4 separate regions of the Mus musculus genome follow, and all the other regions are reported to be linked to region 1. The links are microRNA targets in miRTarBase. Many come from high-throughput screens and were not tested one by one. Region 1 holds a microRNA gene; each other region holds the end of a gene's coding sequence.
Evidence for each region. The annotated mature microRNA mmu-miR-5125 reads UCUGCCUGGGAUUUCCUUGU and lies in region 1 at 2,960-2,979, opposite strand. An mRNA with a match to its seed (bases 2 to 7 or 8) in the 3' UTR can be bound and repressed. Matches are read on the target gene's strand: a 7mer-m8 pairs with bases 2 to 8, a 7mer-A1 pairs with bases 2 to 7 and ends in A, and an 8mer does both.

Region 1 (7,405 bases):
GGAATAAAATGTAGAAAAATGGCTCAGCAATTAAGAATACTGGCTCTTGCAGGGGACCTGGGTTCAGTTCCCAGTACCCACATGGTAGTTTACAACTGTTCATTTCGGTTCCAGAAAATCAGTGCCTTTGGCCTTCATTGGCACACATACATACATACATGAAAGCCCATATACATACTCTAGAAAGAGGCTAAGATGGGAAAAGAAATAGAAGTGTAAATTATCCTTTTTAGTTTTTGTAAAGTAAACCTCAGCTCACCAAGCTATATATCCTTATGCATAGCCGATTGTCCCTGCCCCACCCAGCCTGGAATTTCCATCTCCATAGCCCCCCCCCCCCCAAGGGCTTGCTGCAAATATCCTTTTATCACGATAAATATCCTGGGAGGTATCTGCTCCAAGGTAACTAGTAGCCTGTGAGTCAGCAATGAGGCACTTATAGGGCTGGTGAAGATACACGGGCCAGATAGATCCCCTTTTGCGTGGGTTCCTGTGGCTAAAATACAGCTTGTCTGCGTAAGCTAAGTTAGGTTGTTATGTCAAAGCTAAGGGCACACAACTCCTGATATGGCATTAGATATGGGCAAGACTGGACCAGAGGCTTTATTACCCCTCAGGCCAATGGAATGTGTTAATGGCAGGATTTGCAGAAGCACTTCTGGAAGCAGCTGACAGCATTAGGTTTCTGGACCTAATTAGGTTGCTTTCACTGCTGCTGCCACTCAAATGTCCATACTGAAGGCTGAAGGCTATTAGGAAGGTTTGGCAAATGGCGTTTTAACTAGACCAGTAACAGGAATGAGAATTCATTCTCCCCCAACCCCCAGAAGTTTGTGTAACCTTAGCTGCCCAGCCAAGTGCTAAGATTAAAGGCGTGGACCACCACCACTTGGCTGATGGTCAGTTTCTAAACCTTTGCTCTTAATAGAAAGCACATCTACATCCTTGACTTCTTTCTTGATCAAACCCCAGCTCTTTGCCGTCTTCCTTACTAATTTTACCAACCAGTAGCATTGAGGGCCAGGTAAGGAATTTCTAGGTGGACACAAACAGGAGAAAAGATAGAAAGTGGAGTTCATGTTTTGTACTGACTGTGGACACTGGAAACCAGGATTAAAGAATTCTGAGGTTGATACTTGCCAGACAAGCACAAAGCTGGGGGTTGGGGGTCTTTATCAATGACATGTAATGGGGTCAGAGGCAAAGTTAGGCCTCTGAGGACAGAAGTCATCATACCATTGCCAAGTCAGGCAACCAAGGTGGGGAGGGTTATGGCCTTGATGGTTGATACAAGTCAATGAATGGAAACGCTGAGAATCTTCTATACCCCTTCCCCAGATGACACCTTCGAAGCTCTCCGCATCGAGCCCTTTTCCAGCCCTCCAGAGCTTCCAGATGTGATGAAGCCACAGGATTCTGGAGGCAGTGCCAATGAACAAGCTGTGCAGTGAGGGCCTAGGCCTACCCCCTAGAGACCCATTTCCCCAATAAAAAAAATTTGGCTGTCTACCTGATTGACTTTTCTGTTCCCTCTTGTTCACAGAACTCTTAACCCCAAGTAAAGACTACAGACCAATTACTGCATTTCTCATTTTTATTTGACAGAAAAAGTTGCTTTTACTGTACAGATTTTAAAAAACCAAAATGCCTTAAACAAAGTTGGGGGGGAGAGGGCCTCACAACCTTGTAAGGGGGTGCAGCAGGGCCAACCAACTTCAGCTCCTTCCTCTTTCAGGAAAGATTACAACTTACCAAGTTAAACCATCAGTCACCCAAGAATTTAGGGAGCTAACTCCCTGGATCATCACAATCTGAGGCCTAGATGTCCTGAGCTGTGCCCCTCCCTCCCTAGACTCCCTCCCTCCCACTCCAACCCCCAAAACACAAGAACCAGGAAAAACTCACAGAGATCAACATTTCACAGGAACCAAAAAAAAAAAAAAAAAAAAAAAGGGTGGGTGGGAGAGGACGCTCTCCCCTCAAGATGCTGCCAAGGTTCAAGGGAAGGCATACAAAGACTCCTTCCATGATTCTTCTGGGAAAAATGAGGAATACTCATGTCTCCAGAGTATGAGGTGTAGTGGAATCCAGATTATGGAGACCTGGAATAGAGAAGACTGGTCATTCTGGGTCACCACACATATCCCTATCCCTAACTACTAGCTCTCAGAAGGGCCAGACTTCCAAGGAGACACACCTGGAGGAGCGGTGACGATTAGAACGGGGACTAGGTGTCTCCTTCCTCTTGTGACCAGGAGAGTGACTGTCCCCTCGCTGGCCTCTCCAGGAAACTCGCTCACTGCTACAAGAGGAGAAATTAGGTCACAGAACAATACCAAAAACTTTTAAATTTTGCTTACAAATTAATGGTAGCTAGTTGAGTCAGGTTGCTAGCACCTGCTATAGGCCCTACCTCTGTAGATCCCTTGGTGAAGGTTGGGGCGAGGGCTGTCGACGCTCAACGGGTGAGTAACTGAGGGATCGGGAATCCCGAAGGGAGTCTATTGGCTTCCGAGGACTTCGAGACCTAGGAAGCAGAGTAGGCCTCTATAGCTCCACATCCTCCCAAACCCACCAGCCAAGCATTCAGGACCACCCACCCAGGTCCTGACCACCAAACCTCACACCACACAGGGCCAGCCTCAGACCCACCTTTGTCCGCACTCACCCATCCGCCCGCACACCATCCACCGAGTACCCCAGTGGACAGGGCACAGGGTGCAGCGGGGGATGCAAAGATAAAAGAGTCCCTGCCCTTGGAAGAATTTTGTTTGGTAGTAAAGGTTAACAATGAAGGCACACACGCCCCCTACATAGGAAACAGCCCAGCAGGATGGATATGCATGGGCCTGGGGATCCAGAGAAAGGATGGGGACCTGGGCAGGACAGGGAAATGGCAGGGCAGTCTTCTCGGAGGTGCTGTTTGAATGCAGTCTTGCAGAACGAGTTCACCAGGCAGACAAGGAAATCCCAGGCAGAAGGAACAGCATGTCCAAAGGCATGGGGCTCTCCTTAGACTGCAAGGCGCTGGGTATGGCCGGAGCACGGGGCATGTGTGGGGGCGGGCAGGAGGAGCACAGGGCGGGCAAGGGCAGCTGGTGAAGAGCCTCACACGCCATTCCCGCAGAGGTGGCACTTTATCCTGCAGGCCACAGGGCGTTCCGGAAGGATTTGTGGAGTGAAGGGAAGTAACCAGATGTGCGTTTTAGAAAGATCCCTCTGGCTACGTGTGGAAGAGAATGGCGTGGAGGCAGGGAGACAGGGAGGAGGCTGTGGACAGAGTCGGGAGAAGATGACGGTGGCCAGACCAGAGCCCTGCAGCAGCAATGGGGAGACTTAGAGCTAGATCTCTGAGACCAGGCTGCTTGTCAGGGGAGGGGAGAGGGAGGAAGAATCCTATGACTTCCCAGATATGGCCTGGGACACCTCAGTTAGATAGTGCAGCCCTTGACCAGAATACAACACTGTGGGAGGATGGGAGGAGTCCGGCACTCCTTCTCCCGTACAACCAGTCACAGACGTCCACACGAGGCACCCCAGCAGGAACCTCACCCAGGGTCCCCTTTCTGGAGAACTCACCCCAACCCCCCTTCCACAACAGGCAAGAAAGCACTCACCTCCTCTCGCCAGGGGGTGGCTTCTTGGGGCTTGCAGGTTTGGGTAATGCCTGAGGGCCAGGCTTAGCAGGGGAGGGGGAGGAGGAAGAGGAGGAAGAAGAGGAGGAAGAAGAGGAAGAAGAGGAGGAGGAAGATGAGGAGGAGGAGGAAGAGGAAGAAGAGGAAGAGGAGGAGGAGGAGGAGCTGGAACTGGAGCTGCTAGAGCGCCTCTTCCTTTTGGCCGGGGTTGGTTCCTGAGGACGTCCCTCTCTAATAGCCTCCTTTGGGACTGGGGTGGGGCTGGGAACCCTGTGAGAGAAGAAAGGTGTCACAAGGAGACAAGATGCCCCAACCCCAACCCTACCTTCCTTGGCCTGGAGGAACGGCAGTGGGGGAGGGGTGCCTGAGAAAAGCCCTGGGAAAACACGAAGGCAGGCCAGTGAGTAGTACTTCTCTGGAGCAGTGGCACAGAGCTGACCAAACCTCTGCTAACACAAGCAACAGGCTGGGGCCCGAAGCACAAGGGATCAAGGTTAAACCTCAAGAATGTCCCTGATGAAGGATTAAGGCCCCTGGACTCAGATGTGGAAGCTGAAGCTGGGTGATCTCCTTCCTTGGAGAGCCGCAGCTTGGGGAGGCCCCTGTGAGTGCAGGTTGGCTGGGGAGGGGCCGTCCTGCCTGGAGGCAGGGAGAGGGATGGGATGACCTCTGAAGATCCTTCCAGCCCAGGGAGTTCCTCTTGAGGTCTAACTGCCATCCCTCCTGCTGTAAAATTAAGTCCATTTCCTCTAGTTCTGTCCTCTGTAGAGATGGAAAACTTATCATTATCCTCTGGAGAATTAACCTTTGGAGACTTTTATCTGTCCCATTCCTCCCCACAAAGCCCCCGCCCAACATTCTTTCTACTCCCAGCTTGAAGGCCAAGGTCCCCCATACTTTCTCAAAGCCAAGTGCTTTTGACAAGATTTCTCCCTCCCTACTCACCCACCCATTGTTAAGTCCCTGCTCCCTAGATCCCTTAATTGCCTCACCTTTTCAGTGCCACCTCAGGTTGAGCTGGAAGGCTGGAACCCTCTGAATCACTAGAACTGGAGCCAGAGGAAGAGGAGGATGACGATGAAGATGATGAAGAGGAGGAGGAGCTAGATGATGATGAAGAGGAGGAAGAGCTCCGACGTTCCTTAGCTGGTTGCAGAGCAGCCAATGTAGAAGGCTGCTGGGCCCCAGTAGAGGCAGGTGGCTCCCCACCTTCAGCATGGGATATCCCAGGGGCAGGGCCAGAAAGCATGCCATTGTGGTCACTAGCAGAGGATGTGGACTTCGCTACTGTCCCGGATGAAAGGGACTGAGACCCTGCTACAGGAGTGGTCTGGACAACTGAACGAGATTGGTCTGAAAAAGCAGATGGCACAGGGGACCGAGGCCGATCCTGTGCAGGAGGGAGAAGAGATTGCGAAGAAGCCTGAACCATTCTTGAAGCAGGGGAAGGAGCCCGCTCACGCTCAGAGGTCATTCTAGACTGGCTTGGGGCAGATGGTGGTGTTCTGGACCTGGCTCGATCAAGCATTAAAGGTGAGGTTCTGCCACTAACACGATCATAAGCAGAAAGGGGCACCCTGGGACTGGTGAGGTTTGCACCAGACAATGCTGGAGCCATCCTGGAACTGGAGAGATTTGTGGGAGCCAAGCCTGCAGGGGTTCTAGAGCCAGCAATATTCACAGGAGCTGTGCCATGCGCAGATCGAGGACCCACCACCAGGTTTGCGGGGGTTGGAGCCTGGGGTGTTCTGGAACTGGAGGGGTAATTTGCAGCAGTTGGAGGTGTCCCAGAGCCTGTGAGACTCAAAGCTGCTAATGCAGCTGGTGTTCTAGCTCCTGCTAGGTTCACAGCTGAAGCTGCAGGGGTTCGAGGATCTGCAAGGTTCACAGCTGAAGGAGCCACTGCTGTTCTAGGGCTGGCTAAGTTCATAGCTGCAGCAGCAGCTGGTGTTCTTGAGTCAGCAAGGTTCACAGATGCCGGAATAGCAGATGTCCTGGCACTAGCAAGGTTCATAGCTGCTGCAGATGCTGCTGGAATCCTGCTGGCAAGGTTAGCAGCTGGGGCTGTTCTAAGGCTCATGAGAGGTACAGGTGCTGGAACCTGGGACATTCTTGCAGCAAGGCCAGCAGCAGACATGGATGGAGGTGGCCGGGCAGTACCAAGACTGATGGCTGTCAAGGCAAGTGCAATTCTAGACTGAGCATGGTTTTCTGGAACAGATGATCTTGGGTGATCAGGAATCCGAGGACCTGGACCATCCATCATGGAGCCACCTGTTTGCTGTAGCACAGACATGGGCGTTCTAGCGCTTCCAAGGGGTTCAAGCATTCCAGGTGATCTACATCGGTCAAGAGGAGTTGGTGACATGCTAGGACGGCTAAAGCAACTCATTCTAGAGCTACTGAGTGCTACAGGAGGTGTCCGAGATCCAGAATGATTCCTTGTTGCTGGAGGAGTGGCAGAACGTGAACGATCAGAACTACTTCCAGATGCAGACCGCCTACGAATGGCTGGAGGAGATCTTGTTAAGGACCGCTTGCCTCGAGCTGCCCTAGGAGTACGAGACCTAGAACGGCGGCGGATAGCAAGTGGTGAGCGGCTTCGAGAGCGCTTGCGTGGCAACAGTGGTGTCCGAGACCTAGATCGTCTTCGAATTGCTGGCGGAGTTCGAGACCTGGAGCGTCGTCTTGTCACTGGAGAGGTTCGGGAACGGGACCGCCTCCGGGTGACTGGAGATGTTCGAGATCTCGATCTTCTCCGGGTGACTGGGGATGTCCTGGATCTTGATCTTCTTCTAGTAACAGGTGAAGTTCTGCTTCTAGATCGCCTCCTGGTTACTGGTGGAGTCCTGGATCTGGACCTTCTGCGAGTCACTGGAGGAGTCCTAGAACGAGAACGACGGCGAGTTGGTGTTCTGGATCTTGAACGACGACGAGTTACTGGTGGTGTTCTGGACCTGGATCGCCTTCGACTCACTGGGGATGCTCTTGATCGAGATCTACGCCTATTCACTGACCTTGACCGTCTCCTACTCACAGGTGAGGTCCGAGATCTGGACCTACGTCGGCTTATCAGTGGTGTTCTGGACCTGGACCGCCGATGAGTAGCTGGTGAGGCTCGAGATCTAGAGCGCTTCCAAGGAGCTGGTGATGTTCTTGATCGAGATCGCTTCCGACTGGTCAAGGGTGTCCGGGAGCGGCCTCTTCTGCGTCTAGAGGAGGTTCGAGAACTCTCCTGTCTGGTAGGTGATCTTGAATGGTAACCAGAGCCACCCCTCCGTCTCCGAGTAACTCGTGATCTAGACCGGCTCCTCTGTCTTCTTCGAGATGTTGACTGAGATGATCCAGATCTATCTCTGCGTCGGGTTGTTCTGGTTTTCTCTCTCCGTGAGCGGGATCGGGATCTTTGGAGTCCACGAGGTTTGGGTGAAGGAGACCGTCCTCTCCTCGAAGTTGTCTTGGTACGGGGAGAAGAAACTGAGCGCCTCCTCCGTGAAGACCTTGACTTTTCAGTTGGCTCTGGTGAAGATACTGAAGGACTTCTTCTGCGTCTTGGTGGAGTTCTGGAGCGGATTTCTGGTGATGAGGAGGCAGACCGGCTTCTACGAGAGACTCTAGCCTTCCTGGTTAGCTCAGGAGATGATCGAGAGCTCCGGCGTCGAGGTGGTGTGTGAGACTTTGTCTTTGGCTCTATTGAGGACCTGGAACCTCTTCGAGCAGTTCTGGATTTGGGGGCGTGTTCTGGAGAAGACTCAGAACTACTGCTTCCT
Region 2 (7,405 bases), not on the chromosome of region 1:
AGAGAACATTTGAGAGACAAACTCATCAGACTGTGTCACCGGCTGCCCTAGAATTTGTGGTAATCATTTTATCTTATTCTTCAAGTGTGGAGATGATGGTTTTAAACCACACAGCCAGGCACGTTACGGTTTAATTTGGTTCTGTTCTGCTAAGACAGAGTCTCACTGTATAGCCTTGGCTGGCCTTAGACTTTCAGATACCTCCTGCCTGCCTCCTGGGTTTTGGGATTAAAGGCATGCACTACCTTACCTGGCCCTTACATTATGATTTCAGATGGCATAGTTTAAGATATTTTAAGCCGTATGCTATAATAAACCTCTTTTGTTATAAATCTAGATAGAAGAGGAGTTGTGGGAAGAAGAATTTATTGAACGCTGTTTCCAAGAAATGCTGGAAGAGGAAGAAGAACATGAATGGTTTATTCCAGCTCGAGATCTCCCACAAACTATGGACCAAATCCAAGACCAGTTTAATGACCTTGTTATCAGTGATGGCTCTTCTCTGGAAGATCTTGTGGTAAAAAGCCATTTCTCATCTTTTTCTTTTTTTAGACCCTACCTCATCTCCCTTAAGTGAAAAATCAACCTGCTTTCTCTTTAAGATGTTTTAGAGCTGGGCGTGGTGGCGCACGCCTTTAATCCCAGCACTTGGGAGGCAGAGGCAGGTGGATTTCTGAGTTCAAGGCCAGCCTGGTCTACAAAGTGAGTGCCAGGACAGCCAGGGCTACACAGAGAAACCCTGTCTCAAAAAAAAGAAAAATCTAAGATCTCCTGATTGAGTTTCTTTGAGATACATTTATAAGCTCTTGGCAGAAAAAGAATATAAACCTAGGTTCATATTCTTATTTCTCAGTCTTGTCACTGGTAATGTGCTTGTAATAAAATTTTACATCATTGCTAATGTAGAACTTGAGGAGCCCTTTTTTTTATTTTAAGATTTATTTATTTTATGTATATGAGTACATTGTAGATGTCTTCAGACACACCAGAAGAGGGCATCAGATTCAGTTACAGATGGTTGTGAGCCACCATGTGGTTACTGAGATTTGAACTCAGGACCTCTGGAAGAGCAGTTGGTGCTTTTAACCATTGAGCCATCTCTCCAGCCCCAGGGAATCTTTTTACTAAAATTAAGATAAAAGATTTTTTTTGCTTGATGTAGTTGGTGGGTAGTTGAAACAGAGTTTCACTCTAGTTCAAACCTGCAACTCAATGCCTTGATTAGCCTCAATCATGAGCAATCCTCTTCCCCACACTGCTGAGACCTAGAATTCGTAGCTTCTGTTTATTATGGATTAGTTTACTAAGCTGTTCATCATAATCACCTAAACTTGAATACTCAGTTTAAGCATCCCAAAGTATACTTTACAGTTCTCCTCCACATCAAGCTTTTGAAAAACATTCTGCTGCTAAAAAACAATACAGAAAACACCAGAATCCACATTGTGGCAGACCCTTTGCAGTAAATGACTGTGACTGAACTGAATAGGTGTCTGATCTGGTCTCTTGGGACATATTTGCCTACTGCTACTTTAGTCATTTCACATACTACTAGTGCTTTGAATAAAGGCTTAATGTATAGACTAGATTTGCATAAATCCATAACACAGAAACTGAATTGCTTGACTCAAACTTTTCGAGATTACTTTAATTCATTTTTAGACTTCTCTAGTTTCCAGAAGATTACATATTCAAGAATTCTGCCCTTTTTTTGTTTTTGATTGTTTTTATTTTTATTTTTTTATTTTTTTTAAAGATTTATTTATTTATTATATGTAAGTACACCCACCGTAGCTGTCCTCAGACACACCAGACGAGGGCATCAGATCTCATTTCGGGTGGTTGTGAGTCACCATGTGGTTGCTGGGATTTGAACTCTGGACCTTCGGAAGAGCAGTCGGGTGCTCTTACCCACTGAGCCATCTCACCAGCCCTGTTTTTATTTTTTTAACAATTAAACCATGCTTGCTTTTCTTACTTTTTGGTTTTTTTGAGACAGGATTTCTCTGTGTAGCCCTGGCTGTCCTGGAACTCACTCTGTAGACCAGGATGGCCTCAAACTCAGAAATCCACCTGCCTCTGCCTCTGCCTCCACAGAGTGCCAGGAGCCACCACTGCCCGGCACTTTTTCTTTCTTTTAAGGGTTTTTATTTCTGTATATTTAATGTTGAAGGTCAAGCCCAGGCCTAGAACATTCTAAATAGACATTTTAATCACTGAGCTAGTCTGAAAGTATAGATTTATTTCCCCTATGTGAAGGGAGAACACTTATCTAAACTTTTTTAAATTATTGGTCCAGTATGTCATTTAATATTATGTTTTGGTCTTAAAATACATGGCATTGGAATTCAGGGGTGTGTTTGTTTGTTTGGTTTGGTTTTGGTTTTTTGTTTTTTAATCTTCCTGTCTTCATCTACCCCTGGAATATCTCCAGGTTTCTTTTTTATCAACACTCAGCATAGAGGATCTTCAGTTCTTCTTCTTTATATTGACTTCATGTTTAGGGAAGTGGAAATGAGACAGAGGAATGCAGTCCAGGTCTCTTAGAGTACTTGGAGACTTGGGCTGACATGGAAACAGAGTCACAGAGAGGGTGATCTGTTCAAGCTTCCATGGGAATTTTGAATAGGTAGAGCTGAGATCTCCAACTCAGGTCTTCTGTCTCCTATGTAGTTTTCTTTTCCTGTTACACACAGTGCCTCCTATGGGAATTAGAAAACAGCAGTTGTAGAGAGATAACCCCCAAGTTTTCAGTGAAAATCTTAAATAAAATTCCCTAATAGCCAACAATGCCCCAGTTAATCAGACTGAGAACATGTATTTAACATGTTTGGAAGTATTTTCAGAGCATCAGGCACACTTGGAAAAAGAAAATACCTTATTTCATGCTATTTCTTATAGCTTAAGTGAGGTTAGTGCGTTTCTTGTTATACTTAATAGGATGTAGAGGCTAGGAGGTGCAGACCTTCAGTCCCAGCACTTAGGAGGCACATTGGCTGGTGGGTCTCCGTGAGTTTGTGGCCAGCCAGATGACATTCTTTCTCTGCCATGAGTTTGGGGGTAGGAAGAACCTTAGATAGAGTTCAACCTTTTGTATTTTTCTGGGAGATAATTTTTACATAAAGGTCTAGGTTGAATACTTCTGAGAAATCACAGTCATCTGTAATGAACTTGCTTTTTCTTTTCTTTTTCTTTTAATATATGATTTTTCAGGTCAAGAGCAATCTGAATCCCAATGCAAAGGAGTTTGTTCCTGGGGTGAAGTACTGACATGTCTGAGCAGCCGGCCGCTTTTGGTGGATGTAGCACAGTTTCCACACTGGGAAGGCAGTGTTAGAAGACTCCATTGTAAAAGCTCTCGTCACTGTGTTACACTTACGCATTGCCAAAGTTTTTGTTAGTCTTGCATGCTTAATAAAAGTGCTGAGACTGTTACTAAGTAAGGAGCTGTCACACAATTACTGAAAGTAGAATTGGCCACGTGGCTTAATGTAAAGACAGCAATGGGAGAAGCACCAGTCAACTGTGACAAAGAACCAAATTAAATCACCTCCAAATCTCATTGAATTGTCTGTCTTTGAGGCTAAACTGGTCCCTTAAGGGTTAGTTGACACGTTTTAATGTCTACACTTTGTATAAATTTAAATTAGGTTCTGATTGTTAAACAGATTTCTCAGTTGCATTTGTCCATCAAAAATAACCTCTTCTGGAGAAAATCTGTTAAATTTTGAAGTAAGTAATTTCACAAGAATGTCTTTGAGGTTACAAGGTGATGGTCAGATAGGAGCTAGTCTGGCTTTTGCCTGGTGTATTATCATGTTAGGAATACTGAGTTCTCCCAGTGTTAATCTTGAGGAAATACAGTTTGAGGCTTGCATCTTCTGAAGATTGATTGCATCATCGCCATCATGTGTGAAGTCTAACACAGGACCCACACCAGCCCATAATCCAACTGAAGCACTCAAAAGACGGTAGCATGACTCTGGTGCTCTTCCTTGCTTTGTTAACCATCATGACTATAGTCTGCAGCACAACTTTTCTTTTAACAAAGCTAGAACAGTTTTGGCTTCTTAAACTTCATATTTGAGTAGGTTAAGCTGCCATACGTGTTCAGTGTGAATAGTGTTTAAGTTGAAAATATTGTAAAAAAATTATATTTTTTCAAAAATATTTAAAAAAAAATAAATGATAGTAGAACCGAGCTGGTGCTTGTGTTATTGGTGCAGACAACAGACTCCAGCGTTGGTGCTCGCCTAGTGTGGGCACTGGGCAGCCCTGTGTGTGAGGTGTGCTGACAGGAAGGTGTACTCCAGTCCACAGTAGCCAAGCAGGTGTCTGTCAAGTGTTTGACTTGCCCTTGCCCAAGACTGCACTGTCAGCAATCTTAGCCAGCCATGGTAGAAAGCTGTGGTTGGTCTGGGGATATCTGTTAATGGCGGAGCACTTGCTTAGTATGTGCAGCAGCATAAATGTTTCTTGATGTGCTAGAGCTGCAGGCCATGTAGCCATTTATTGTATTTGAGAACAGTGTATTGCTAAATAGCCAAGGCCAGCTTTGAACTTAGGATCCTCCTACCTCAAGTTCCTGGGTGCTGGGACTGCCTTGCTCTTTTGTATGGTTATTTCTGGCTCATTCTTTCTGAAAAGCTTTTAAGGTGTTCATTTGGTTTGGCTTGGTTTTTGTCCGTGGTGCTAGAGGTTGAACTTCAGCTATTTTCTGCATGCTAACCAACCACTGTTCTGGTCAACTTCATCCAGGAAGGGTCTTTTGTTTGTTTTGTTTCGTTTTTCCAAGTCCAGGTTTTTCTATGTACTTCTCACGGTCCTGGAACTTGTTCTATAGTCCAGGCTGGCCTTGATTATATGCCTCTGCTGGGATTATGCCACCATGTGCTGCCAAAAGTCTTTTTACTTTTTAAAAACAGTTACCTTAAACTAATGAAGAAGCAAGTGTTTTCATTTTCTTTTTTTATTATTAGATAAGTGACTATTGTCTGCAGGTATGTCTGTGTATCCCTTTCAAGCCTGGTAGCCAGAGAGGCCAGAACAGGATATCGGAGCCCCTAGGATTGGAGTTTCAGACAACTGTGAGCTGCCACATAGGTGCCGGGAATTGAACCAAGGTCCTCTGGAAGGTCCTGTTCCTGGTTTTTGGTTTGGTTTGGTTTTTGAAACAAGGTCTCCATAGCACTGGCTGTCCTGGAGCTTACTGTGTAGGGCGGGCTGGCTTCACATCACAGAAATCTGCCTGCCTCTGCCTCCCAAGTCCTGGGATTAAATGTGTGCCACTACACCTGGCCACAGGCAAGTTTTTTAAGAAACTCTAGAAAAGACAGGCATGCTTGGCACTTGGGGGTTGGGAGATAACACTTTCAGTCCTTTTGTTCTCTAACTGCTCAGTATCAAGTGTGCAAGGGGTACTACTCAAGCTAGCTTCGATCTCATGCCTGACTCCTTAGAGCAGGCATTAACAGGGTTAAGCCACCACTCACAACTTTCACTAGAATGTTTCTTGTTTGAGAGGGAAAATATTTGAATTAACTAGAGCCAAGTGTCTCCATTATAGGCAAAACTAGGATTTAGAGCTGCCCACATGTTTTGAAGCTTAAAGATAAATGATTACCCCCTTATAGGCTTGTATTAGCAGGTTTCTGGTAACTGAACTGTAAGTGATTGAAATTTTATGACTACTAACATTGAAACAAAATAACATGTAGAAGGATCTCTCCTGTTTATGGCACTGCTGGTGTTTCCAACCTTTCCAGTCTCAAAGATATTACTTAGGTATGGTAATGGTAATACACACCTATAATTCCTTCGTTTGAAGGGCTGGAGAGATGGCTCAGTAGATAAGAGCACTTGTTGCTCTGGCAAAGGGCTCGGGTTTGGTTTTCTAATACCCACATGGTGGTTCACAGCCATCCAGAGGATCCTGTGCTTTCCTGTGACCTCTGTGGGCACCAGACAAGCACATGATGTGCACTAATGTACATAGAATACATACTTTTTAGTTCCTTCACTTTGAGAGAGTCTATGAATAGAAGGATCATGAATTGGCGAAGGGTGAGCTGATTGTGCTAATGCCAGTACTTGAGAAGCATGCATGCATGCATACACAGAGAGATCAGGCTGGCAGTGACTGCTCTTAGACTCTAGTTGGTCTAGATGTTGCCTGTATCTGGTAGGATTGATAATCCCGCTTACTTGTGACCATCTATGGCTCTCACTGTAACATGGCTAAGAAATTCTACCCAGATCCAAAGGACTTTTTACCCTGCCTAATCTCCCCTTGAAGAAACTTGTAACCGATTACAAAAATGCTAGTTTGATTTTTTTTTTTTCTTTTTGTTTAAACAGATGTTTGATTATTCAACCTCCCACAAGAACCATATCATGTCCTACCTTTCATTGAGGTGGCTTCAGACCTTGGTACACACAGACCCAGTTTCTATATTGTCTGGAGTGTCTTCTAGAACTGGAGGCTGATTTTGTGTCTTTTTAGAAAATCCTCTGAAGACTGGGCAGATGGGGATGTATCTGAAAAAGGTGGTCCTTTTTACCATGCCCATCCCAAAGGGGAAATCGTAGCTCTTGAGACTGGCTGACGTCTCACTGTTGGCGTGGGCTCCAGCCTTCCACTGTATCAGGCCTCTTTCCTCTGGGCTCCCTGCAAGAGGACAGTGAGGTCATCTAGGAGGATAAAACCCTGTTATCTTTCCTGCACATAGCCAGTCCTAAGGCATGTTTCTAGAATCAAGTATGAATTTGCCTAGTCAGAATGGAGCCCAGGGCAGTTTTGCCTGCTAGATAAGCACTCTACCACTCTGCATGCCTTACTTGCCAGAGCTCTGAGAAACCTTAAAAGATTAATACTACTTAACTGTAGCATCAAGTCCTGTGCTAAATAATTTCATTATTTCTGAACACCCCTGGGAGGTGCATAGGCACAAAATTTTAAGGTGAAGAAACAAGCTAAGTCATTTTACACTGTCTGTCTGAATATGGGGCTAGTGTGTGGTTGCTTCATGGGACCTAGATAGTGCCCAGGCTGTACCTCTGAATAGGGTACGTTTTTAAATTTTTTTTATCACATTTATTGTTTATGTAGAATTTATGGAACCATGAGAGTGAGGAGGTCTTAGGATAAGCACAGGAAGTAGGTTCTCTTGCTCCATCATATGGGCCCTGGGCATTGAACTCCGACCAGGTTCAGCAAGTACCTTTTCCTGCCGAGTTATCCGACCTGCCTGAGGACATAGACCTTGAAATACTTTATCAGTGTTAGGATTCATTATTACAGTTCTAAATTTGGGGCATAAACCATTTTTATAGCATGGATGAAAGCCAGGCTAAGCAAGAGATCTTTGGTGGGGTAGGGATGTACCTCTGGAGAGGAGTCCCAGAG
Region 3 (7,405 bases), not on the chromosome of region 1:
GAAAAGAAAGGGTCTCATGTATCCCAGGCTGGCCTTGACACAGATACCTAGCTCAGGATGACCCTGGTCCTCCTCTTAGCACCATCTCTGAAGTACTGGGATAAGTGTACATCTTGTATTTAAGATCTGGGGTCTCATAAAGCTCTGGATGACCTCCAACTTGCTATGCAGCAAAAGCAGGCCTTGAATTCTAATCTTCTTACCTCCATTTTCAACTGTCTGTCTGTTTCTTTTTTGTGCTGATGATCAAACCAAGGCCTCACACATGCTAGACACGTGCTCTCTGCCAGCCTTTCCTCTGCTCAGCTTCCTATCGTGAAACAGACAATTACCTGAGAGTTAGTAAATGCCACACATTACACCCTACAGCTTTAAAGCTGCTGTGCAGCAGTAAATGCATAGTAAGTGTTTGTAGGTAAATACACAATAGGTAAATGCACAGGGCTACCACCAATCCTGACAACTCCAGTTCAACCCCTGAGACACAACAGTGACCAGAGTTGTCTACTGACCTCCATGTGTGTACTGTGAAATGCAATTTAAATTCTTTTCTTCCTTCCCTCCCATTTTCCTTCCTAAAGCTGCAGTGTTTAACCATTTGGGGAAAAAACCCTGCCATTCTAACACGGAGGCTGGTGCAGGAGGACAGCAAGTCAAAGGCAGGAGGCACACAGGCTTGAGAGCAGACCACACACAGCAAGACTCTGTCTGAGACATAAAGGCGCACTATGTTAATAGTGCAAGGGTTATAACAAGCCACATACCAACTTTCAAATGCTTTATTTTTTAGTGTTTAAAACATTTTAATACAACAAAGTTATAAAATAATATATATTAGTTAAATCTGAATTTAATTTAGAATCAGGTATTTACTTATTACAACACTGTGCTTCAAGGTCTGGCTACCACAGGGATTTTCATGTCTTCAAGTAACACTAGTTTCTCTGTGGGCAGGGAGACCTTTAGGTAGAATTCTCAAAACTGAACATGCCTGGCTTAGTCCAAGCAACCTGCTTCCCCACTGAGTACCAATTTCATTTCCTTTGTTCCACATCACAAATACTTCATTATCCCAACAATCCATGAATTCAATGAAAAATTATTAAAATTAAACATTTTAAAGATGTTAATAACAATAGGCTCGGTTTGGTTCTTCAGACAATCCACTAGTTCAGATTAAAAGAGATGTGAAGTAACAATGGAAAAAAGAAAACAAACAATAGAATATTCCTTCTCCCATCAAAGCACAAAGCTTCCTTATGCCAAGATGGGAAATTCACAGAATAAAGAGTCCTTTGATTAACACAGTGTAGAATGTATCCTCAAAAACAACTTAGTGTAGCTGGAGAAATAGCTTAGAGTTCACAGACCTTTGTACTGAACTTGATACAGTAATTCATCATATTAGTTATGTAAAATCAGTGCCACTGAATCTACAGGCAAACCAACACCTACTTTTACAGTAATTTTAGTCATTTAAAGCTATTCATAAGGAGAACAAACAAACAAAACCCTTTCTCTTTCCATCCAGTAGCCTGAAGCATCTCTGATGGTACTTTAATCCTCAGCTGCAGAGGTAATAGGGGTGACTGGGACTAATCTCACTTTTTAATAAACACAAACTGTTATGTAAAGTTGCCATTAAACCTGATATGCTTGTGAGTTTCAGGACAGTCAGGGCTATACAGAGAAACCCTGTCTCAAAAAAACAAACAAAAACAAAACAAAAAAAAACCCTGACATGCTTGCTAGGCAGTAAGTGGTGATGCTTGCCTTTAATCCCAGCAACTTGGGAGGCAGAGGCAGAGGCAAAGACAGAGGCAGAAAAATGTCTGAGTTCCAGGACAGCGAAGGCCACAAGGAGACTCCTGCACTTGCCATGGCTGACGAGAAACCCAAGGAAGGAGTCAAGACTGAGAACAATGATCATATTAATTTGAAGGTGGCGGGACAGGATGGTTCTGTGGTGCAGTGTAAGGTTAAGAGGCATATACCACTTAGTAAACTAATGAAAGCCTATTGTGAACGGCAGGGTTTGTCAATGAGGCAGATCAGATTCCGGTTCGATGGGCAACCAATCAGTGGAGAATAAAGATCGATGTATGTGTTCCAGCAGCAGACTGGAGGTGTCTACTTAAAAAGGGAGCCTGCTACTTTACTCCAGAATTTGTTATAGACCAAGAATACATTCTCAATTAAAAAGCCACAGTTTGGTCCCGCCACATCCTGACTACACAGTATAGTTTTCTCTTCTTTCATTTCCCTGTCCCCATTTCTTTATTGTACAAAAAGTAACTGGTGTATGTGCACACGCATAGTGCTCTCTCTTTCTTTTCCTTTTTTTAAACGAAATGGCCAATGTTCTGTTCTGGTTGGCATCAGATGGAGATGGTCTGGGGGAAAGTACTGGGTCTGTGAAAATACCCCTTCTCCATTGGTGGCATGCTCATTCAGCTCTCATCTTTATATTTCAGTAAGTTATTTTGCTCTCATTGTTTTAACAAAAGAACACAACACCACCAAATCCTTGCATGCCTTGTTCAATTGGAGAATTTTAATGATTTTCATTTATCATTGCAAAACCAAGGACAATTTTTTTTTTTTTTTGGTTTTTTGAGACAGGGTTTCTCTGTGTAGCCTTGGCTGTCCTGGAACTCACTCTGTAGACCAGGCTGGCCTTGAACTCAGAAATCCGCCTGCCTCTGCCTACCAAGTGCTGGGATTAAAGGCGTGCTCCACCATGCCCAGCTTCAAGGACAATTTTTATATTTTTTTTGAAGCTGTTACATGTCTTTAGGGAATAAATTACTCTTGAACAAAATGATCTTAGATAGTTTTCCCTTCAAGTCAAGCATCTTATTTACATAAGCTTGTTTAAAATGAAAACAAAAACAAAACCCACAACCAACAATAACAAAAAACCCAAACCAAACCAAACCAAAAAAAAAAAAAAAAAAAAGAAAACAAAAAAACAACAACAAAAACCCCTGACATGCTTTCTGCTTTCACGCTGTCTGAAGGAAAGCAAGTGGACTATTCTAAAGACCGTTCTTGTCTCCTAAGTCTGTCAGCTGAGAGGGCGACTATACTGTCTGCTTTTGCTATGGGATTTCTATCCACAAGACCATCAAATAATTGAGTGTACTAAATCAGAGAGTTTAAGTCAAGAATATTGTAAACATTGTTAAGCATTTTGGATCTAGAATCTTTCAATGATAAAATTTCTTTTTGCTGAATATAAAGAAGATACATTTTTGCCACAAATCTGAATTTATACGAATTAAGTTTTACAAAAAGATGTGTGTGGTGGTGTACACCTTTAATCCCAGCATGGGAGGCAAAGACAGGTGATCCCTGAATTAGAGAAACCCTGTCTCTGAAAAAACAAAACAAAATAAAACAAAAACAAAAACAAAGAACCCCCCCCCCCCAACAAACAACCAAACACTTTTGCACAAATGTTCCTGAAAGACTACTTGCTCTCTGCTATAGAAGGATCCAGCACCCCTGTTCCCCACTTATAACTTACAGAGTTTTGGAATTCTCAGTCCTAACAGGCAGGTAGAATGGGGCTGGTCACCACTTACAGTGTCAATGTTACGCTATTGGAAGTGTGGGTTTTCTTGGTTACAGCTCACGTTATTTAAATTGACTGGTTCTAAGATGAAGCCCATTGCTTTAGAAAGGTTATTTTTGCCACAGCAACTCTGGCCTCGTTGGGAAGTGTAACACAAAGGTTTCTGCCAAAACTATGTGGTGGTGAGAGCAAGCTTATGTTCCATAGGAGCTCGTTCCTTTCCACCCAGCATGTCTACCTTTCAGTAGATCCTGTTTGCACTGTAAAAGCCGAGAGCACTTGCCTCGCACACACAGCCCTGGGCTTAACACCACAGGGAGGGCAGCGACACTGGGATTAGAATGTAGGCAATTCTTCCTTTGCACCCCCAAGAACTCAAAACCTTTCCTTGCTTCTGTACTAAGCTGTCAAGGAGAAAAGTCTCACACGACTGCAGAATCAAATACGGGGTTCAAAAGCGTGGAGACTGCACGCAGCCACATCATGCCCAAAATGTAAACATAAATTCTATCTTCATTATGGTTAGGTTTTAGTAAGGAAAAAGATGTGAGGACAAAACCTGAAAACTAATGTTGTCTCAGTTTTGAGACTTGAAGAGGATTAGCTCTGTAAACACTGTCTTATAGTAGCTACTAGGCTATACATCTAGCTTATCTTTTTCCTCCAAACAAACAGGAGTGACCCAAGGCCACTCAATCCGTACAGCAGGCTGCTGTCAGGCACTCTCACCATCAATAGCTTGGCAAGGGCAACGCCAGCTGCACCTGTTTCCTATTGTGTTCTATGATAGAACCCATATGGAGGAGAGAAGCCTGATGTTAAGATATTTACCATTAATATAGTTAGCATCTTAAAACTAATGTAGACACGCATTTTTGGAACATTTTCCCAAAAGCCAACACTGTCTCTCCCCCTCCCCCCAGGTAAATTGGATCCTGCTCTGTGGGGGGCAGGGGAGTAATAAGAGGGGGTGGCAGTAATATATCCCTTGGCCCTAAGTCAAGCTACTCAAACAAGCATAGCAAACCTTTTCTCCAGGATTAGGACGTTTCTTTAGATAAGATATTGGCGTTTTTGATCCTGGCTTGTAATAGAATCAATAATTTAAAATACTGCAAGGATTTTGAAGTACAAGATTTAAAAACATAATTGAACTTGATTTTGATTGCTTTACCTCATCTCTCAGGTGAGAAATGAGCGCTGTCTCCAGCCTCCTCAGAGCAGGGGTTCTCAGCACGGGGGAGGCCCGTTTGTCTATTAGACAAACCCCCTTCCTGCCTAATCCACTCAGTGGCTTCCAAGAGGTGGGACTATGACTCCAACTGCAAAAATGACCATTCAGCCGCCGAGACAGAGGAATAAACGCCGGCTGTGGCCTGCGTGAGACTGCAGTGCGCCTGCCTGCAGCTCTTGAGTCCTTGTTTGAAAATGGAACGTAAAGACTATACAATTAGTATTCCAATTCTACAACCAGGTTAAAACTGTTATGTACAACCAATAGAAAATAAAGTGACAAATGGTATCGGAGAGGTGACAGTAATTACTGAAGGTAAACAGCAGCTAAAGTATTTAGTTCTTAACTGCCAAATTAAGACTCTAGAAAGAACATATGTATATAATTTTTTTAAAATAAAAAGTAAGAAGCCTTTTTCTATCCACCCATGTCTCAGACTGTGTACTTTCCATGGTCGGGAATGAGAACTTTCAGGGAAAAACAACAACAAAAAGAGGACCCCACCCCCACCCCCACCCCGAGAATTAGCACTGCGCCTACAGCTTGTTCTGTTCTGTTTTGTTTTTTTCCAGAAGAAAAGAATTCTCTGCATGCACATTTACTCACTCACTGATGTAAGAACTCTAACATCTGGTAAAACACTCATGTGTTCACTTAAGTCACATTATTAAAAAGCAGTATATTGGGCTGTCATCTGCCTAACTAACAGTTACAACAAGTATTTAGTCCGGGGACTTACAGCACTACAGGAACACAGCCACCTCCCCTCAGGAGCCCTTTCTGTTGTTCACACTGAAGCTTCCGAACAGAAAGGGACAGCAACTGACGCTGCACCTGCTCTGAAATGCTGACCCCTGCATTAGTGGGAGGCCGGCGACACCTGATCAGCGAGCGTGTCACCTCACACGGTGCCCCCCGCATTCTTTTGTTTCTGCTGTGTTCAATGTGTTTTTCTTTCAAATGGCTCAAAAGGTAAAACATATTTACCAGTAAGACACTCACTTTGCAGACAGACACAGATTAGTTCAATGAACACATGAGAACGGCTCACTAGGTAAGGAAAGCCAGCTTCAGAAATATTCTTGACTTGAGTCCTACTGGGAATCAGTAACAATTCTTCAACCAGCCCAAGCTGATGTGCTTGAGTTCCGTAAGCAAACACTCAGCATGCACAGGTATCGGCCTGACATCACCCCACGCTGGGTCTTCCTACAGTGAGGGGCGGAAACTCTTTCCATGACCTCTCCATTCAAACAGCTAATAAGGAGTCTTGTGTGTTCTTTCTTGAGTTTTACAGTCACGGCCTTTCTCAGAACGGGAAACCTGTCAACACAGAAGCCAAATGCAACGTATCCAGGAGCCTGGGACAAAGTATTCATTTTCATTCCATAACTACTGTATATTTAACAACAAACTCATTACAGAGAGAGAGTCTTCATCCAATTAGTCTTTTCATTATTGCTGGTTTAGAAAATGGCCAACAATATTCATTAGGTACTGTGCCATTAACATTGCATTCAAAGAAAGAAAACATAGGGAACCAAATCCTCGCTCTCCTACTCTGATGATACGCTCTGGTGTTAGCCAGAGTATGGTAGTACAAAAAGAGTCTTGTTGTGATATAAAAGGCAATAAACACATCAATGGAATAATGTTCATGGGCAGCCAAGATGAAGAAGATTCCAAAGAGGTTGAGAACCCAGGATAGAGTGTGCAAGAAATTCCAGCTTCTTGGTGTATCTAGGAAAAGGACAGAAGGACCATTTATTTAATAACACATTCCTGCCAAGCTTCTTAGCCACGTTTCTCAGGGTAGGCTCTAAGCTTCTGCTCCCCTAACCTCTGCCCCACACCCTTTATTTCAGCTCTGTCTCATGTGGCCCAGGCTGCTGACCTGGATGTGTAGCTGAGGATGAACTTGAACTAGGATCTACAGGCATCTGCCGTCACACCTAGCTTTATGTGGTGCTGGGGATCAAACCTGGGGCTTCACATGTGGCAGGCAAGCACTCCAGACTGAGTTGCATTCCACCCCAGCCGCCTATTCTTTCTCACTTCCTCCCTAGTTCCTTCTCTGCAACAAGCTATCTAATATGCATAGGAGCATTAAAGATATACTTACACTCTGTGACAAAGAAATTCAGCATGGTTAGAACAACTGTGTGGCCACTGAACATGTAGTCTCCACAAGTGTGGACGCCAGTCAGAGTCATTCCAAAGCCGCTCCAGATGGCAAATGCCCGTCGTAGTTTCTCCCACACACTTCCATATATCTACAAAGAACGCTGTGAGTTAGTTCTTCAAATGCTTACTGAGGCTCAGAGCTTGCCCAAATCCATTTCAGGCAATTCATGATTCAGAAATAAGAGCATCCAGGTAAAGGCAACTGGTCTAACTCAGCTAATTCAAGGTGGGCCCAGAGAATTACCAGAGCTTGACTGTACTTAGAAAATGCTAATTAAATGAAATCATCCTAATTCAAACTCCTTTACAGTAGTTCCTTTAAAGTAAAAAGGTCAAGGCAGGCGTACAGCGTATGTTCATATACCAACACCTCAGAGGCAGAGGCCAGTATATCTATCTTTGTGAGCTTG
Region 4 (7,405 bases), not on the chromosome of region 1:
AATTATCAATACTACTCAGAGGAACATTAATATATCCAGTCACAAAAAAAGACACTGCAAATTAAAATATTTTCAATATTCTAGGTGATTAAAAATGTCCATTTTGTGTGAATGCTATATTTAATGGCCTATCATTGCAAAAAAGAGTTCAGTTCACTGAAAAGAAATTTGTGAAATTCTTAGTATACTTTATGAAAGGTTGAAATTATAAATAGAAAAGAAACATTTAAGATTAAAAAAAACTAACAATGTGTTTTCTTAACAACATGCTAGTTACAATTCATTGTGTGTTATACAAGCACCGATACCCATGATACATCTTAAAACTTCTATACTCAGACAAAGGAGAATTTTTTTTCCATTATGAAAACTGCCAGAAAAGCAAATTTTCATTTGGAACGAATGTCCTTTAGATGCAGCCAGATGCCTCGCAGAGACAGCGATGAGCACAGGAGCCATACACGTCACTAACCACGACTTACACCTCGCTGCATCACGCTCTCTTCAATTTGTGGAGTGCTTCTTTCAATCATAAAAGCAACACAATCATTAAAGGCTGCAGACTACAACAGCAAAGATTTTGACTGTTAAAAAAATAAATAAATTTATTTTTCAAATCAAAATTATTATAAAAGTGGAAATTACAATAGTTAAGGAAATAGAAAAATAAGCCAATTATGATCTGAGTCTTCTGACTATGGCTCCAAATTTAATAATACAAATATCTGTATATAAAACTTTTCCAAAGATTCTGCCAGCCAGATTCTAACCCAGAACTTCAAAAGCTTGTCTACTTATCAAAGATCCCCAGACACTGCATTTCCTGTGGGTCTTTGCTTCCGGCTACAGCTGCCCCAAGCACTGAGGATGCAGGTGCTGAGACCCTTCCTGTCACTTTTTTTTTTTTTTTTTGGTTTTTCGAGACAAGGTTTCTCTGTGTAGCCCTGGCTGTCTTGGAACTCACTTTGTAGACCAGGCTGGCCTCGAACTCAGAAATCCGCCTGCCTCTGCCTCCCAAGTGCTGGGATTAAAGGTGTGCGCCACCACACCCGGTCTTCCTGTCACTTTTATAGATCCTTAAAATATACTTGATTGAGCTTAATTATTTGAAAAATAAGTGCCAAAAATAGGTACACACTTAGTTCTAATTTAAAAATTATTCACTATGGCCAACAATATTTTTTTGAGAATTACTAGTGACTTGCAAACAGTTTACTATTTCTAACTAAACAAATTATAGTGTATGATTTAGTATAACAGGTGAAAACCACCTATAGGATTTCAGAGCAAAATTAACCATGTAGTTTTAAATTTATACTTCATCTGTCCTGTTCACAATTTTTTTCTCATTTTTCAGAGGCTATAAATTTATCAGTCAATACAATTATTTAACATTTGAAAATTATTTAATTCTATAATGTCTTAGTCCACTTATTTCCTAATATTAAAGATGACATTAGCTCTGCTCAATTCTTACTTTAGCAGGAAGATATAACAGAACAAAGCAGAGCACATTAAGCTATGTTTAAGTGCAGAAGTAGAAAGAAGGGGTATAGTACTTCCAAATCCATTTAACATGAGATCCATTTTTGATATGTAAGATATTTGTATTCAAAAGGCATCTCATGAGCTAATGATATAATAGAAAGAGCCTGTTCAGTCTCGAACTCCTGGTCTCAAAGCTCAACGTTTTCAGAGGCAAGCTTCAGAGACTATACCAGCAACATATCAAGGGATTTTTAAATTTATTTTTAAGTTAATTTTTTATTTTTTGATTTATTTTTGAGACAGGGTCTCCCTATATAGCCCTGGCTGTCCTGGAAAGCAGGCTGAACTCAAGCTGACAGCCATCCATCTGCCTCTGCCTGGGAGTAGAGATGCGTGCCACCATACCTTGCTTGAGGGATTTTTAAAATACAGTACTGACTGACCTGATATATTTTGTGGCAAGTAGTGTTATAAGTAGTAAAATTTAAGACATTTAATCTAAATGTTCCATATTTCCTTTAAAAAAAAAAGACATTTTAGTAGAAAAGGGAAAATGAAAAGCAATAGCAGCTATGTAATGTAAACCAAGATTACACACTCACAGAAAGGCAAATCAAGGAGCAGAGTCCCTCAACACAGTTACTCAGCACAGTGAAGACACGAAGGACACACCGTGTAACAAACAGGGCCGCAGTTGTAAACTGTCGTTTCCCTTCTAGGACATCAACATTGCACTCTAGTGTTGGGAAGCAGCAGAGTTTACAAGAGTGGGTAGGAAACAGCTGTACAGGGTAGGAGTAATTTACACATTAAAAAATTAAATTTCTACAATCCCAAGGAATAGAGGTTAGTTAGTGAAAGACTGATTTTATGTCCTCTTCAAACTTCAATTACTTTTCAACACCTGAAATAGGAAAAAAGCAGAGAAAATTTTAGTTCTTATAAAACTCATGTTTGAAATAAAGAACAAGATAGGAATGATTTAATTTCTTTAAAAAATGTTTTAATTAGATTTTATGTTCATCATACCACATGTGGTATGACATCATACCACATGATTGCCTGGTGCCCATGGAGTACAGAAGAGGAATTCCCTGGAACTAGAAACTGGAGTTATGGGTCACTCTAAGTCACTATGTGGATAATAGGAAGCAAACTCCGGTCCTCCGCAAAAGAGCAAGTGCTTTCCAATGTACATCTCTCCAGCTCCTGGTTGCTTTCTTTTACTTTTCTGTCTTCTAACTTGAACTATTTATGAGCAGAACAATGTTTACAAGGTCAGCCCATCATTTTTTTCATCCCTAGTTAATAAAGCCATATGTGGGTTGATATATGAATTATTTTGTTTAATAACAAAACAGGGCTGCACATGATGGCCCAAACTTGTAGCCCTAGCAGCATTTGGGAGCAGGAGGCTTACCATGGGAAGAATGAAGGAGTGATGGGGGAAAGCAGGCTTGTCAATCTTTAAACAGAAAACATGGCGTTCTTAAGTTAAGGACCACTACTTAGCAGCGATTAGTGGCAAATAGTGTGTCTTAGATAAAATCAGGGAAGTGCTGGGAGATGGACTCCCAGAACCCACAGAAGCAAGGATGGATAGGAGCGCGTGCTTGTGACCCTTCTATCTGCAGGATGGGGACTGAAAACAAGACAGTATCTGGAAGCTGCAGGATAGTTAGAACGGGAAGTGCAGAAGAGATCCCGTCTCAAACAAGGTGAAAAGCAAGGATTGACACCCAGTGTTGACCTATAACTTCCACAAATAAGCCGTGGCACTTGTGGGCCTACAGACATAACCTAATACACACACACATCTTTAGGTTGGACTTAGTAATAAAGCCATGTGACAGAAGAGAGGCTATGTAAAACTGGAAACAAAAGTCATTAAACATTATTAATAACTATCACCACTGCCCTAAATCCATGTTTTCCTCAACATTTAAAAAGTAATTTTAAAAAGTATCTTCAGGGAGTTTAACTTTTCAAGTTTATCAGCCACCCATCACAGTTTAAGATACAGTGATCTAAGAAATGAAAAGGCTCAGGGGATGCTGAGCATGTGTGTCAGAGTGCATGCTGCTCTGGCAGAGGACCTCAGTTCAGTGCCCACACTAGGAGGTGCACTGCTGCCTGCAATTCAGTTCCAGGGGGAATGATGTCTCTGGCTTCTGTGGGCATGACACATAAATCATTTTAAAAAGTAATAAAAATAAGTTTAAAAATTAAATAAAAATTGAGTATCCTTTGATTCAGCAGTATAACAATTACACTTCATAAGTACACTTTTCACTCCTTCCCATGTGCTAAACATCATCACTATGTAGATGATACTAGATGTATTTAAGAGGCCACGTTCTTCTCTATTCAAATAAAGTATGAGTTCAAGATTTACACATGAATTTTAACATAAAAACATCTGGAGAAACCAACTTCTGAGCTCTAAAACTCTCTCCTCTAGGAAGGCAGAGGAGCAGCTTCTTTTTAGTGCAAGCTCGGTGCTAAGTGATGATGTCCTAACTCACGTAATTCTCAAGAACTGTTTCCAACTTACCAATAAAGGAGGCTAACAGTTCAACATGGGCAGAGACAGGATATGGACTCTCTGTGTATGTGTCTGTCTGTCTGTGAGGGGTGCATTTCTCAGTGTAGGAACATCAACTAATCTATCTCCTGTGTCACTCAAGCAAAAATGCTTACATTATGGCCATAGTGACCCACAACTTTAATTCCGGCACCCAGGAAGCAAAGGCAGGTGGATCTCTGTTGAGTTCAGGCTTACATAGCAGGCTCCAGGCAAGCCAAAGTATACAATGAGAACCTGACTCAAAAAAGAAAAAAGAAAATCCCACAAAAAAAACACAAAACAACCCCCCCCCCCCAAACACACTAAATCAGTCTACATCGGGTAAAGGAATATGGCAGCTACACACATAATTAAATACACCCAGAAGGAGGTAGCATACATTTGTGATACTGGATGTCTTTGGTAGGTCACTGTCCCTAGATATGTTCTAGATTAAAAGAAACTTAAAAAAGTCCTAGATCATGCCTTGGTTTAGAAAACTTAAGATACACAGGATATTAATAAGAAATAGAGAAGAGCTAAGAGGTACAGCTCAGTGGCTTGAGCCTTGACTAGCAGGTACAAAGCCATGGCACACAGAGGCACAAGAGGAAGATCCAAATTCGGATATGAGATATTACACTTATTAATGTTAGATGTGATTATTATTATTAAAGCTGCACAAATAACCTATTTTTCATGAATGTATAATTTATTTTTATAGTGAATTCTAAGAGGATTCAGAGGAGAATGAGTTAAGTTTCCACGTGTGTGCAGTGTGTACACGTACGTATAGAGGCTGGAGAGCAGTCATCTGCTTCACCATTATATTTTTTAACACAGAGTATTTTACTGACCCCAGAACCCTCTGAGTTCCAGAGACTCCCCCTCCCTAGATCTGGGTTTATAGATAGATGTCTTCTTCCCCGTCTGACTTCTCCATGTGCGCCAAGCCAGACTCAGGTCCTCAGGCTTCTGTGGCAGCTGGAACTCACTCACTTGGCAGATGGAAGCATCTCCCCAGCCCAGAGAGAACAGACTTTAGCAAGCTGCTTTGTTCAAGTTCATGAACGCAGCAGAGCTGGAATGATACTCAGAACGTTCAATCCCAGGCACTTTTTCTCTCTCCCTTAAACCTTTCACTAGACAGAACAAACAAAATATTACATTTTTAACCTCTCCAGATTGCTGGTTTAATTTCTACTCAAAACAGTCCTATGTACAAAGTATCAAAGCCAAGCAAAATTAAAATAAACCAACCTTAGGATTTCTCAGAAACAGTAAGAGCTAACCATCTCATAATTATTTAGTATTTTAAATTTTCAGCATTTCTGTGGGATTTCTATAGTTAATCAGACTTCTGGAATATGTCATAAACTATAGACAGCCATTTACTGGTGAATGTGATATAGAACAAAGTGTTCAGTGTATTACTACATTAAAAAGAAAGCTATCAAGTACCACATGGGGAATAGGTATAGTATGTTAGTTCCACAACTTTTAAATGTGAAGTTATAGTAGTATATAAAGAAAGCCCTCAAATGACATTCGTTATCTTCCTGCCAGAAACAGATGACAAGCCTGCATTTCACCCCAGGGCCCCATAGTGTGGAAAGAGAACACATTCTTAAAGTGCCCTCTAATTTCCACACATCCCGCACCCACACAGGCACACCTGTGCACACACCAAAGAGGGGGAGTTCAGAAACCTATTAGGAAAATCAACTTGTAGGAGCTGGATAACTCAGAATTTAAGAGCACTGGGTCCTCTTCCAGAGGACAGGGGTTCAATTTCTAGCACCAAAATGGCAGTTCACTTCTGTCTATAACTCCAGTCTCAGGGATCCAACACTCTCTTCTGGGCCACAGGGGCACTATATGCATGTGGTATACAGATATACATGCAGGCAAAATACTCTCACATAAAATTAAAAAAGAGAAAAATCAGCTCCCAATAGGTGATTGAAAACGGGTAAGTGTTTAAAAGGGAAATGTAAAGGGAGTGTGTATGCATGTAAACCGGCTTCCTCCAGGCCACCCAGGGTAGACTATTTTGGGCCTATCAAATTAGAAGCAAAAACTAATAATCAATGGTGGCAAGGATACAACCAAATGCTAATTTTTATTAAGATGCAATTTTAGGCTGTCTTTCTAGAAAGTAACTGTAAGATCCTTAAAAACATTCAAACTGTAAAATCCCAGTTTTGGGAATCTTCTCATAATAATCTAAAGGATGAGGGAGTATATAAGATACTTCATATTTCAAATGTCATTTATAGAAGCAAAATTAGAACAAAATTAATGTACTTTATTATGTTTCTAGTAAAGGTAATATTATAAACCAGGGCATACCCATTGTGTAGGATACAAAAAATTATTATAAATGATCCAATCCAAGTTTTAAAATTAGTAACAAAACTAAACATAGATTATCTGTAGCATGAAATAGACCATAAGAAATCATGCCAAGGGCTGGTGAGATGGCTCAGTGGGTAAGAGCACCCGACTGCTCTTCCAAAGGTCAGGAGTTCAAATCCCAGCAACCACATGGTGGCTCACAACCATCCGTAACGAGATCTGACTCCCTCTTCTGGAGTGTCTGAGGACAGCTACAGTGTACTTACAATAAATAAATAAATAAATAAATCTTTAAAAAAAAAAAAAAAAAAAAGAAATCATGCCAAGTTGCATTTATAAAACAACACATATTAAAAAAAAAAAAAAATCCTGATCCTACTGTGAAACTCGAATCCTAAGCTAAGTAGCTCAGTATTTCCACACACAGTTAAAACTCAAAAGTCAGGCACAGACTCACACCTGCAATGTGTCAAGTGTTTACGACTGCTTGCCTCCACCACCACGAAGCCCCACTGGCTGGTTGTTCTGAACAAATGAGCCTCCTCCACGAACTGTGCCCGGGTGAGTTGGCGAGGCCGCTGGATGCTGTCCAGGACGGATCGGCTTTGCTGTGAAACAGAAAGAAGGTCAGAGTCAGAAGGTGTGACAGTGACAGCAGTGACTCCTTAGGTCTCTCCCTATTCACTAACCATTCCTCAGTGTTTAGTGAATTAACTTCTTGTGTTTTCCTTTCTAGATATCTCTTACTTGGTTATCTCCTATTCTCCAGAAACAATATAATAATCTCTTGCCTCTAATAATCTTTCAAAATATTTGCTATTTTGTTAAATTTTGAAGTAGAGCCTCTCTATGTAGTCCTGGTTGTCCTGGAACTCTACATGGACGGGACTAGGCTAGAACTCACAGATGGATACTTTTCAGAGGCAGCTCTCTCTCCACTGTGGGATGTAGGGATCAAACATGAGCCACCAAGTTTGCATAGCAAGTTCTTTC

Region 2: miRTarBase lists Slc23a1 as a target of mmu-miR-5125. Seed matches in the 3' UTR shown: 7mer-A1 at 2,085-2,091 and 7mer-A1 at 2,079-2,085.
Region 3: the mRNA of Samd8 is a reported target of mmu-miR-5125. Seed matches in the 3' UTR shown: 7mer-A1 at 5,505-5,511, 7mer-m8 at 4,975-4,981 and 7mer-A1 at 2,702-2,708.
Region 4: miRTarBase lists Kif5b as a target of mmu-miR-5125. Seed matches in the 3' UTR shown: 8mer at 1,861-1,868, 7mer-A1 at 1,855-1,861 and 7mer-A1 at 1,007-1,013.

The regions. Positions count from the first base shown.
Region 1 is chr17:23,818,913-23,826,317 of GRCm38, reverse strand. It overlaps Mir5125 (microRNA 5125), which reads right to left and starts at 3,027; the gene lies at 2,949-3,027. Srrm2 (serine/arginine repetitive matrix 2) reads right to left here. Exons shown (of 15, transcript NM_001368687.1): 11 at 4,628-7,405; 12 at 3,618-3,905; 13 at 2,414-2,527; 14 at 2,198-2,302; 15 at 1,577-2,102. The coding sequence ends at 2,093. It overlaps Elob (elongin B), which reads left to right. Exons shown (of 4, transcript NM_026305.2): 4 at 1,339-1,578. The coding sequence ends at 1,451.
Region 2 is chr18:35,612,986-35,620,390 of GRCm38, forward strand. It overlaps Slc23a1 (solute carrier family 23 (nucleobase transporters), member 1), which reads right to left. Exons shown (of 15, transcript NM_011397.4): 14 at 6,403-6,667; 15 at 1,619-2,702. The coding sequence ends at 6,420. It overlaps Paip2 (polyadenylate-binding protein-interacting protein 2), which reads left to right. Exons shown (of 4, transcript NM_026420.3): 3 at 338-517; 4 at 3,214-4,201. The coding sequence ends at 3,270. Among named protein-coding and RNA genes, the nearest start is that of Slc23a1, 11 kb to the right of the region's middle.
Region 3 is chr14:21,792,083-21,799,487 of GRCm38, reverse strand. It overlaps Samd8 (sterile alpha motif domain containing 8), which reads right to left. Exons shown (of 6, transcript NM_026283.3): 5 at 6,934-7,084; 6 at 762-6,551. The coding sequence ends at 6,247. Among named protein-coding and RNA genes, the nearest start is that of Gm23502, 17 kb to the left of the region's middle.
Region 4 is chr18:6,201,316-6,208,720 of GRCm38, forward strand. It overlaps Kif5b (kinesin family member 5B), which reads right to left. Exons shown (of 26, transcript NM_008448.3): 25 at 6,872-7,020; 26 at 1-2,392. The coding sequence ends at 6,890. Among named protein-coding and RNA genes, the nearest start is that of Gm41664, 30 kb to the right of the region's middle.